2 linked regions of the Drosophila melanogaster genome follow. The protein of the gene in region 2 purifies or fractionates together with the protein of the main gene of each other region. This does not show direct contact. Each region holds a gene or a part of one and is shown on either strand. Other genes may lie near its edges.

Region 1 (3,896 bases), 9.1 Mb from region 2:
GGACTTCCAACCAGCAGGAATGCAGCTTATGCGACGCTGTCTTCCTCACAAGGACAGGGTCCGGACTCCACGAGCAATTCGGAAAAGCCTCCACTCGCATCCGCATTCACTTTCAAGGACATCATCCGTCCAAAGTATTCCAGAAAATCGCACAGCGGACGGATGTTTGGCAACGGCTCCTCCACAAACTGAAGTAATATGCCGAAGGAGGGAGGGGTATTCCACTGATTGCATTCTGTCCCATTGTTGGACTATTTTTAACCGTCCGCTGGATTATCAGCGCTGCCCTCGCTGCCCTGCAGTCGTCGATTGCACCTACAGTGCTATGCAAGTAAATATGCATATGGTTATTGCCATGTACGTATATAAATTTGCAATTGTATGACGATGGACACGCACAAACCTAGTGAGAATTAATCTAGTGCATTAAAGCAATTTTTACAATAATAAGAGTCAATGACCTCAGCGAATAGTCAAGTATACAATAGGCACCATCTTCAGAATAAATGTTCTTCGACTTATTCTGAATGTCGTTCAGTGCCCGATTAATTTTACGGATGTAAGCACATGGGCACGAGTTAATATTGCTTAAAACTTGAGGCCAAAGATTAAAATTATGATTCAAAGTAACCAGTTCATTGCGTTTAATCTAAATTTATTACAGGACTATTTTTGCCTACCTCAATAATAAATGTTTTTCAATGCCGTCAACAATACTAGACCACCAAAAACAGTTGCTTGGATGCACTGACTATAAAATTGTTTTTACTCCTATTTCTTTAATTGTTTATCTATGTAACTTGCTTAAAGAACAGAAACTGGAAACCCACATCTGAAAATATTTGGAACCATTACATTCTGGCATCTATTGCACAAATTTGTAGTGCTTATGTTGGTCAATTCGATTTGATTTCCAGGTTTCCAAAAGCAGCCTCCAAGGGTACAATCGTTTGTTTAGTCAAAAGTTGTTCGAGGGCCCACTGACTCAACTTTTGCAGCTCCTTCCGTTTGGAGCTCACGGCTCGAGAGTTGTCCAAATGGTTGCAGCACAAGTAAATGCCATAAAGGGCCCTCAAGTTATGCGGATTAAGCTTCAGGGCCTGCGAATAGTAAGTGCGAGCCGATTCCATATTCTCGACGCCACCCTGAAAGAAAATTAATTCATAAGATGGACTTCATTACTGGTTAGTGGGCTTATATAGCTCACCATTGTGTATCGTATTTCTGCCAAACGCTGGTGTATTAGATGGCTATGCGGATTGTGCAGCAAAACCTCCTCCATGCAGAAGGCAGCTTTGCCAAACTCGCCTTCAGCCAGATACATGTTGCACAGCTCATGCCATGCCTCCTGGTCAGACATAAACCTGAAGGAATATTAAATAGTTATGAGATTATCGTACATGGTAAGATAAGTAGTTGTCTAGCAACCGGATGCCGGAAACTAATTTGGTTCCGTTCTTCCAAAAACACCATGAACTTAGCTTTCTTACTTCTTCAGATACTCGTTGAGCTCCTTGATGGCCTCCAGGCGACGACCACGGGCCTTAAGGATGGCAATCTTGCGCTTCCTGGGCGCGGCATTTGTCTCGTCCTTAGCAATGATTGCATCCAGGACCTCGTCGGCCTCATCGTACTGCTCCAGGGCCTCGTAGCGCATCGCTTTGAACTTCATCACGCGCAGGCTGCCCGGGAACTCGAGGGCCAGCTGCTTGGTACACTTGGTGGCGATGTCAAAGCGAGCCGTATCCAATGCCGCGATGATCACCTGCTCCAGGATGAGATGCCGCTCGTTGCCGGTCTTGTGCACCTTGTCCTCCAGCACAGCAACCCACAGCTGGACCACCTCCTCGCTGTGGCGACCCGTCTCCTCGCGCCATGTTCTGAACTGATCGCGTACATCTGGAAGGATGATCATACGATTATGATACCGCACTTTTCATTCATGGCCCCGTTTTTTGGGTCCACGGAAACCGGGCGATTGGGAGCAACCCACTGACGTGGTCTGCACCTGTTTGAAGCCGGGAAAAGCCAAAAACTCACCCGACCAGCTCATCTTCTCATAATCTAGCGACATATTCACTTAGGCGCACTTAAATATCTCATTAATTTAACTTAATTTTCCAATTGTAATCTTTAACTGCCGATTTCCTTTCCTGGCAAAATAAAAGTGTGGCAGCATAATGGGCCGTTAGATTATACCAAATAACAGTGGCGTGGCGCTGCCAACCTACTTTTTGAATATCGTAAGACTCTACTCTACAGTTACACAGTATGCAGGATTTGTTGACTAGTTTGTAAAAGAAAGCGTTTCCGATCCAATGATGTATATATATCCTTTCCTCTCATCTGCATACATAAGTAAACGAGAAGGTGATATAACTATAATAACTAGGTCATTAATGAATACGGTAAAAAGGAGCGAACCTAGGTGTTTCCCTTGTGGTATGCCAGATATGGGTACAAGATGGGTACAAGTAATAACATTTTTGCAGAGTACCCTTTGCGTTCTGCCATTCAAATATCTTAAAGTCCAATTCAAAAGATCAACCGGAAAACATTATAAATTTAGATTCCTATTGGATAATTAAGGAAGTCATATGGCTTACTTATGTTAGTATATATGTATAGTCACATAATCAACATATTTTCACGTTTCCCTTCCGTTTCTGAGTGCACTCGGCATACGACACAATCGATCAACTTAGCTCTATATGAACAAACAAGTAAATAAATGTGATTTATATTACAAGGAGCTCTTATTAATTATTTGCAGCGCATTAACATGGTCCAATTGTTCCCAGCCACGTAAGGTAATACAAAGTTCCTGAGTTTGATAAAAGAGATAAGAAAGAACACCTTAAACCCTCTTACCAAACGTACTCCTAACTGGATAAGTAGTTCGGTAAACCAATAACTAAATAGTATACCAAGCGTTCAGCAAAACTAACACACCATCTCCGTAGATAATTCCGTGGAAGAGTATCAGCATCAACAAAGGAAAAACAATAGAGATTTCTTCCTCATACCTTACTTTGTTGTTCTCGACTTGTGCATTTACACTTACTAATCTGAACGAGTAATTTTACAGAGAAAAAAAAACGTTTATTTATAAACTTATCTCAAAATAAGGAGGAATTGTGGCAGAAAAGATTCACTACATGTTTACATTTCCAACAGAGCTTTTTTCGAGTGTACTTTGAGTGCGTTGGGTGATTGTGACCACCGAGATGACAATTGTTTCAATACACTCACAGATATGGGTATGTGTTTGCTTGGGGAGCGGAAGATCCAGATAATCTGCGCGGAGCGAGAGTCAAGTGTCATTTTTCCCTCAGTCTACCACAGACGTTGGACCAAAATAAATACCATCCGACGGAGTCCCGATCCCGATTGGAAAACACCAAGAATAGGAGCTGCTGCCAGTTATGTAGATCTACGCCGTTATGTCTGGAACATCGACCTCTGAACGCTCCAACTCCGAAGACAGGTAGTAGATAGGCATTCAAAAATCCATGTAATGACCAAAATATCCCGCTTCCAGCCCGTTGAATCCCTGCCTAACGGAGGTCCTCAGGAATTGTGCCAACATTCAGTCGCTGGAGAGCTTGAACTACGAATATAACGACGTTTTGCTGACCGAAGACAACGTGGGGAAGATGATTACGCCGAATCCGTATTCCTTTAGTGGCAACATTTCCATCAGCAGTTGTCCAAGTGAAGATGTATCATTTTCGGAAAGCATCCTAGAGGACAACGGACGCATTTCGCTGGCCTATGAGAACCTGAAGACAATTCCGCGGCGACTGGCCGACAAATTCGCAGCGCAGACCAAGTTTCTCGATTTGAGTCACAATGATTTCCGAAACTTGAGATTTCTCTCCTTTTTCGAGGATCTG
Region 2 (6,733 bases):
AGCCAAATATCTCACGTCTATGTCCTCCTGGGTAAACGTCTCCGCATCGGCGCCCATCATGTTGGCCAGGTGCCGCTTTCCGATCTGGAACTCCAGGTGCTGGGTCTTCATGAACTCGTCGTGTTCGGTGGCTCTTTTCAGGTACGCCCGCATGGCCTTGCTCACCCTTTGCTTCTGGACAGCCGCCGGAGCAGCCTGGACGGTCACATCGGTGGCAAATGGAGCCGCTGCCTGAAAGGTTATGCAAACGTTTGGTCTCACAATTGGGAACAGTGAAAAGTGTCAAGTCTATTGACTTGACTATTGTACCAACCATGTAGCATGGCATCGGTGCCCTGGATTTGCATGCATTTTGCAGCAGATTCCTGTTATTTTTTACTATATTTAAGCCAAAAACACGCAGTGCCATCCTTTCAATTTTGCGGAAGAAGAAGAGAATAAACATATGTTTCAGTCGGTTAAAGTTGGATGGTCGGTGTTGGAAAACACACAAGCTTTCAGCTGATTTTTGGCGCCCATTTAAAAATTTTTTTATTTGTATTTTTAATTTATTAAGCTATAAAACCACAACTTTCTTACAATGTTATAAGACGGTGAAAATTACTTCATTTTTGAGATAAGTATTATAATAATAATTCCTTTTATACTTTACAGGAAATTCTAAAAAAAATTGTCCTAAATAAATCAGGTAATAGACGCTATGAATTTTTGATTTAATTGTATTTTTATTATTTATATTTTTTGTTTTAATTATCAAAAATTTTTTGAATCCACCTCCTAATTAATCCCAACAATCAGTTAATTCTGATGAAAAAATTGTTTATTTACTTTACCGTTGTCCACCTTTACAAATGCTTTTATTGACTATACTTTTTAAACACTCTTTCAATGCTGATATTTTCAAATGGAAATTTAAACGAACACAAATCAAAGGAACAGAACATGCAATGAAAACCTTTCAACAGCTAATTATAGTTATTTGATGTTTAACGCTATATAATTAGTTATAAATAATTGCCTAGGCTTAGCGTTGATAAAAGGTTTTATTCGCATTGTGGGATGTAATGCAGCTATCAGAATTCTGTTATATATATCAATAGTATCTCGCCGATTTACATTCTCTCATCATCATTCCATCCTCCCTTGTGGTATTTGGTCGCAGTACAATTTATATATATTTAAAGCAATTATTTAATAATAATGCCAAGCCTATTTCCACGCCTGCTTGAGCAATTTACGCGACGCTAAATGCTTAACAATCAACGAGCCTGATGTGAGCGCGACTAGCACTATGGAAATGAGAATATAATCAAAGTCCTCCTTCAGCAAGTCGAACGTCTTTGATGGCGCCACGCGCGTAACGAACAAATCTGTCAAATAAAAATGGTTTACAGTGCTTTAACCAAAATCGCGTTTGATAAATCTCCCTTACCTAAGCCCGTAGCAACGACTAGACAGGTACTCTCCAAGCCACTGGGCGCGGTGTAAATATTACGCAGACGGGCAACCGTCTGGTTGTAATTTATGTGGCTCTCTGTTGGCAAAGGCAGCTCGGGTATGTAGGGGATGGCTCCTTCTTCACGTCCCTGAGTCGTGGATGCGATAGGACGTCGGGGATCCAGCAAATGCCACGGCATTTCCACAATGGAACCACTGGCAGTGCCGACTAGAATTAATGACAAATGGTTAGCATCCTATTTGGCGTTCAAATTACTTTCGTTAATGCTCACTAAGCACATGCTTGTTGGTGATTCCGCGCTCCGTGATAGTTTCCCGCAGAGCCTCAACTATTGTGGGCAGTATATAAGACTGGCGCTCCACGAGGGGCATTGGCGGAGCTTGCAAGGAACTCCAAACACTGCTGTTTGCCTGACTCTTGCCCTCGTACAGTTCGATTGTGGCTGTAGCAAGTAAATAAAGTTTAGTAAATATAGGTACTTGTCAATGGCTATCGCTGTTGTAACTTACTAATCTCTGTGCGACGCAATTTCTCGTTGAAGTAGGAGTAGGCAAGCCAGTTTTCGGAGTGGACAATGCTCAGTGGTGCACGGACCTTACGATGCGTCATGGTGAAAACCACAGAGCCGGAGACCACATCAACCAGATACAAATTTAGCACGGCTATGGAGTAAGTGCCATTTAAATGAATGCTTAATTACACGAAGCGCATGCAGACTCACATTTGTGTGTGGAATCCGGTGCCTGTGTGACGAAAGCCACTAGATTAGGGTTGATGTACTTGTACAGCACCGATCGATCGCCCAGCACACGTCCCTGGGAGTGGACATGCTCGATGGGATTCTTGCCGGCAACGCCGATAATCTGCTGCTCGGAATTGTGGCCGCCCAGGCGAGCATTCCAGATGTGCGTGCTGGACAGTTGCTAACGGAAATGGTTTAATAAGTTAAGTGCTTTCATATTAAAAGGCTGCATTACTTACCCCGCCCGCATATTTAACAAAGTAGCCGGCCAGCTCTGCAGTTTTCAAATCGGCGGTGTACAGATACATGCCATCAGCCTGTACGTGCATGTAAAGATTTTCAACTCTATTGATATATCATAGAATTTTATATCTTACCAGTGGGGCCGCATGTTCGGGATAAACATGTACCTTATTCGAAGCATCCAGTAACAGAATGCCCTTCAGAAAGTCCTTTTCCGTTTCTCCCAGCAACGAAAGCTGCTTAATTCTGTAGTCCAGCTGAACAAGGCCACCTTCGGCTACTTTGCCGGTAATAGGATTAAAACGATAGAGCACACCATTGCCGCTGACCTATAAACGATTAGAATTAGCGTGGGAACTATGCGATTTGTCAGTCAGACCTACAGCATTCTTGCCCAAAATAGTGCACAACGGCTGAAGTGGAAAGTGTTTGGCCGAGCGCTGGACAATCAGACGCATCTGTTCGTCGTTAGCGAATCCAATAACATTGGGAAGATGCAGCTGCCAGTGATGTTTCCCAGAGACATTGTCAATGCCAAAAATCTTTCCAGCACGCGTCAGTAAAACCAGCATCTTGTGGAGGCCAAAGGAGTCTCTGACCAAGCCGGCTCGCTGGGTGTCTGTAGGTGGAGGACCCAGTCCGATAACATGAAGGAACAAGCTCCGAATCTGAACAGCTTGAGTGGTGATGCGACGCAAAAAGGCACTGGCAATGTCTCCTGTTTACGTGGTGAAAACATAAATATTAGTAAAGAACAATTTAATATGATCTTTAAACATTAACGATATACCAAAGATATTTCATATTTTAGTTTACATTGGAAATTAATTATTGGACAGTAAAAAAGTAAAAGTAATACACTTAGCTTTAAACTAGCGAAGCATGCTTGAATTTGTTAGTAAACATTCGTTTTTAGATTAGTGGTACGTTCAATAAACATTAAAAAAAAAAACACAAAATTAAAAGTGATAAACATGTAACAAACAATATTGCATGATTAGTTTGCTGTGAACGTTCACTTACTCTCAAAACTTGTGAAATCCCCTTTTGGTATGAATTTTCAATAATAAATTTTATGAGTTCACCTTAAAGTAGTGCATAAGTCAAGTACACTCACCGGCCTTGCCCTTCATCTCGTTCTCCAATGTGCCCTCAGTATCGGCAAGCGGTAGATCCACAAACTGCGAGTCGATCACATTTGCCAGCGACTCCTCGCGCGACCAACGAACGCGTCCATGCTGCACTGCCACGATGGACTCCGAGGTGCTGCTAAACAAAAACAGACAGTTCTTGCCCTCGCCATTGCGCTTCTGCTTACAGTCGAAGTTGCTCAGCGACGGAGTGCCAAAATGCTCGGGGAATGGCAGACTCTGCTCCAACTCCGCTGCCGGTGCACAGTTATCCAAATACAGAGCATTGATCCTGAGGATCTGTTCATACGCACAGGGAAAGAAACAATTAGTTTTCACATAGAAATAGTAGAATAGAACAGTAAATATAAGTTTAAACGTACTCCAGAGGACAGATCTGCATAGGCCAAGACTTTGCGATAGTTAAAGCTGCCCACGGCGAAGCTGGAGCTTCGCAGATCACCGCAGATCGATTGGTCCTTGTTGACACTAATTGGCTTCCCATCCACAATCACAACACCATTCAGACCCTATAGAAATGTTTGGACGAATTATAACTTCACTTACAACAATCTATTACTTCACTTTCAATAAAAGCAATAGCAAAGTTTTTTCCTCACCGTCAAGGCCTGAGTTTTTCCCTTCGGCTCCGCCTCGAGCGAAGTACGGATTACTTGACCGCTTTTGGAAACGAGATCCAAACTAATCAACTGCTTTCCGTCCGTACAAACGTAGAAGGTGCCGCTAAGGGTGCAGCTCTCTGAGGTGATCCAAGGAGCTATTACCTTGCTGGTGCTGCCAGTGCTGTGGCCCGAGCTGGCGAAATACGCCGTCACCTCGAGGTGGCTCCGCCAGGCAGGCAGCACGTGATATAGCACGGATTTGCTGTAGATCCACATGGCGTCCTGGGCCCGCTCCGTGTTCATGGGCATGATGGACCACTCCCACTCAAGGGCACCCATATTGGTGTTCCAGCCGCGCACCAAAGCAGGAGCGTGTCCCTGAACGGTGAGCATGTCGAAGCCCATGTTGCTGCCCATCGGAGCGGCGGCCGTGTCGCTGCTGTCATCGGCGAATCCGCTCACCTGGAGCAGCTTGACGTCGCCGCGCGGCTTCTGCTCGAGCACCTGCCGCCACACCAATTCGCCGGTCTTTACGCACAGACTGGCCACCACTCCCTCATAGGTGGTGACCAGAATCCGCGGCTGAAAATGGTTGAGGTCGACGCGAGACTGCTTCAGTGCTCCCACATTGACGCCTCGCCTGCAAAAGCCGCACATATCCGCCGTATTAGCGCCGGGTCAATGGTCAGATATCGTACCACACTCACCAGTCGAACTTTTTGATCTGGTCTTCGTAGAGCGCCGAGCAGGTGCCCAATAGGAGCGCCAGCGAAAGTGCGGGCAGTAACCACTTCTCCTGCATGTCGTCCGCCTTGCTTGCTGACCTTCGACTAGCTCGATCTCTGATTGTTCAACTTTTGACGTATTTTTATGTTATAAATTAGTAGAAATCCACATCAATTCGTGTTTTCCGTCATGGCAAAAGGGATGAGAAGACGAAATTGGAGCAGGGTTGGCTGACGATTGCCTTATCGATAGTTCAGCGGACTCACATCCGATATTCAAAGCAGTGCGGCTCATCCCCTTTCAACGTACGGCAAACCCATTCGGTCTTCACCTTTATGATTAAATTTGTTGGTAAAAAGATTAAAAAATAAAATGCCTTGCCATTTTGCGGTATACAGGGCTTATATTTCTGCAGATGCGGCTGCAGTGTGAACCATTTTAAATATTCGTCGTGCTCGCAGCGATAACTGTGACGTGAATGCCATCACTAGCGGTGCCCCATCTAACTCCCATCTCTAATGAGCATTTAGTGTCTTCAAAAGAAGTTGTATTTTTCTGGAAAAATCGCATTGAAATGTTTGAAAAGAAGAGCGACAAGGTTAAGCAAGCGGAGCACAAGGCCCGGGATGATGGCGTAGAGCTGGAGAGCCAGTTTATCATGCGCGTGCCGAAGGTAAGCCATACATAGCACAAACAAACATCACAACAAGCCGTGCAAATTGACGGATTCTCCGCAGGAACTGGCGGACACGGTCCATGAGGCAATAAATGCTGGCACCATTAAGGACCGGCTGACCATCCAACTGGATCCGGATCTGAGGTACGGTGAAGTGCGAATAGATGATCAGATACTGTACACGAAACTCGTGGATTTGCCCACCGTCGTCGAGAGCTACAAGACCATTGACAACAAGAGCTTCTACAAGTCGGCAGACATCTGCCAAATACTCATTTGCAAGGAGGAGCGGGAGGACGAGACGGAAAAGGAGTCGCCCAACAAGAACAAAAAGAAGGACCCCAACAAGGTGGACAAAAAATACCTCTTTCCGCACGGCATCACACCGCCGTGCAAGAATGTGAGAAAACGACGATTCCGCAAAACTCTGAAGAAAAAGAATGTCGAAGCTCCCGAGATTGAGAAGGAAGTGAAACATCTGCTGCGCATTGACAACGAGGCTGTCAGAGTTGACTATGAAATCATAAACGAAGAGGACAAGCCAATGGATGAACTGGAGCAATCGGACATCAAACCCTACAACGATGCGGATGACGATTTGCAGGACGAAAGCACCATGCATGCCAGCGAAAAGACGATCATGGAAATGAGCTCCCAGCGGCACCTCCAAGTGGAGTCCGATGATGACGAAGCCAGCAACTTTCCCTCACACCGGGCGCCGAACATGGGAGTTGCTGTCCACGACATCTTCGGCGAGGAAGTGTCCAGCACGGATGACGAGGATGAGCCCGATCGGGGCAATAACACCATGCAGCGGCGGGTGATGGAGGAATCCTCACGACTCTCGGCTGATGATTCACGAATGTCGGACTTCTTTGGCGCTAGTGGCAGTAATACTGGAGCGGGCGTAGTGAAAATGGAGCAGAACGTGTTCAGCAAGTCTATGTTTGGGCATGAAGCCAGCAGTCCTAAGCTCAGCGCCGCCGGATCAAGCTCCAACCTTGCTGCTCCCAGTGGCTTCTACGATAGCCAAATGCTAGCCAAGCGCGAGGAGTTCGAGAACATGGAATTCATAGACGAACCGCAGCCGCAGTACACGCAGCAACAGGTCCAGCAGAAGATCAATCAACTGAC

What was found.
Region 1: the proteins of EMC1 (region 2) and EMC2B purify together in Drosophila melanogaster (affinity purification with mass spectrometry, with the first as the bait; one large-scale study listed by BioGRID). This does not show direct contact.

Annotation. Positions count from the first base shown.
Region 1 is NT_033777.3:16,989,694-16,993,589, forward strand, and holds EMC2B (ER membrane protein complex subunit 2B), read right to left. Parts: upstream 2,186-3,896; 5' UTR 2,075-2,185; coding exon 2,041-2,074; intron 1,900-2,040; coding exon 1,491-1,899; intron 1,365-1,490; coding exon 1,208-1,364; intron 1,146-1,207; coding exon 897-1,145; 3' UTR 641-896; downstream 1-640. Other genes in the region: MESK4 (misexpression suppressor of KSR 4), read left to right, coding at 1-192; CG31274 (uncharacterized protein), read left to right, coding at 3,444-3,487, 3,542-3,896.
Region 2 is NT_033777.3:7,902,224-7,908,956, forward strand, and holds EMC1 (ER membrane protein complex subunit 1), read right to left. Parts: upstream 5,141-6,733; 5' UTR 5,000-5,140; coding exon 4,905-4,999; intron 4,838-4,904; coding exon 4,195-4,837; intron 4,105-4,194; coding exon 3,958-4,104; intron 3,875-3,957; coding exon 3,562-3,874; intron 3,489-3,561; coding exon 3,468-3,488; intron 3,163-3,467; coding exon 2,828-3,162; intron 2,774-2,827; coding exon 2,579-2,773; intron 2,519-2,578; coding exon 2,441-2,518; intron 2,383-2,440; coding exon 2,181-2,382; intron 2,122-2,180; coding exon 1,969-2,121; intron 1,902-1,968; coding exon 1,731-1,901; intron 1,667-1,730; coding exon 1,433-1,666; intron 1,371-1,432; coding exon 1,210-1,370; 3' UTR 807-1,209; downstream 1-806. Other genes in the region: mRpS9 (mitochondrial ribosomal protein S9), read right to left, coding at 16-231, 314-409; Taf7 (TBP-associated factor 7), read left to right, coding at 5,402-5,596, 5,661-6,733.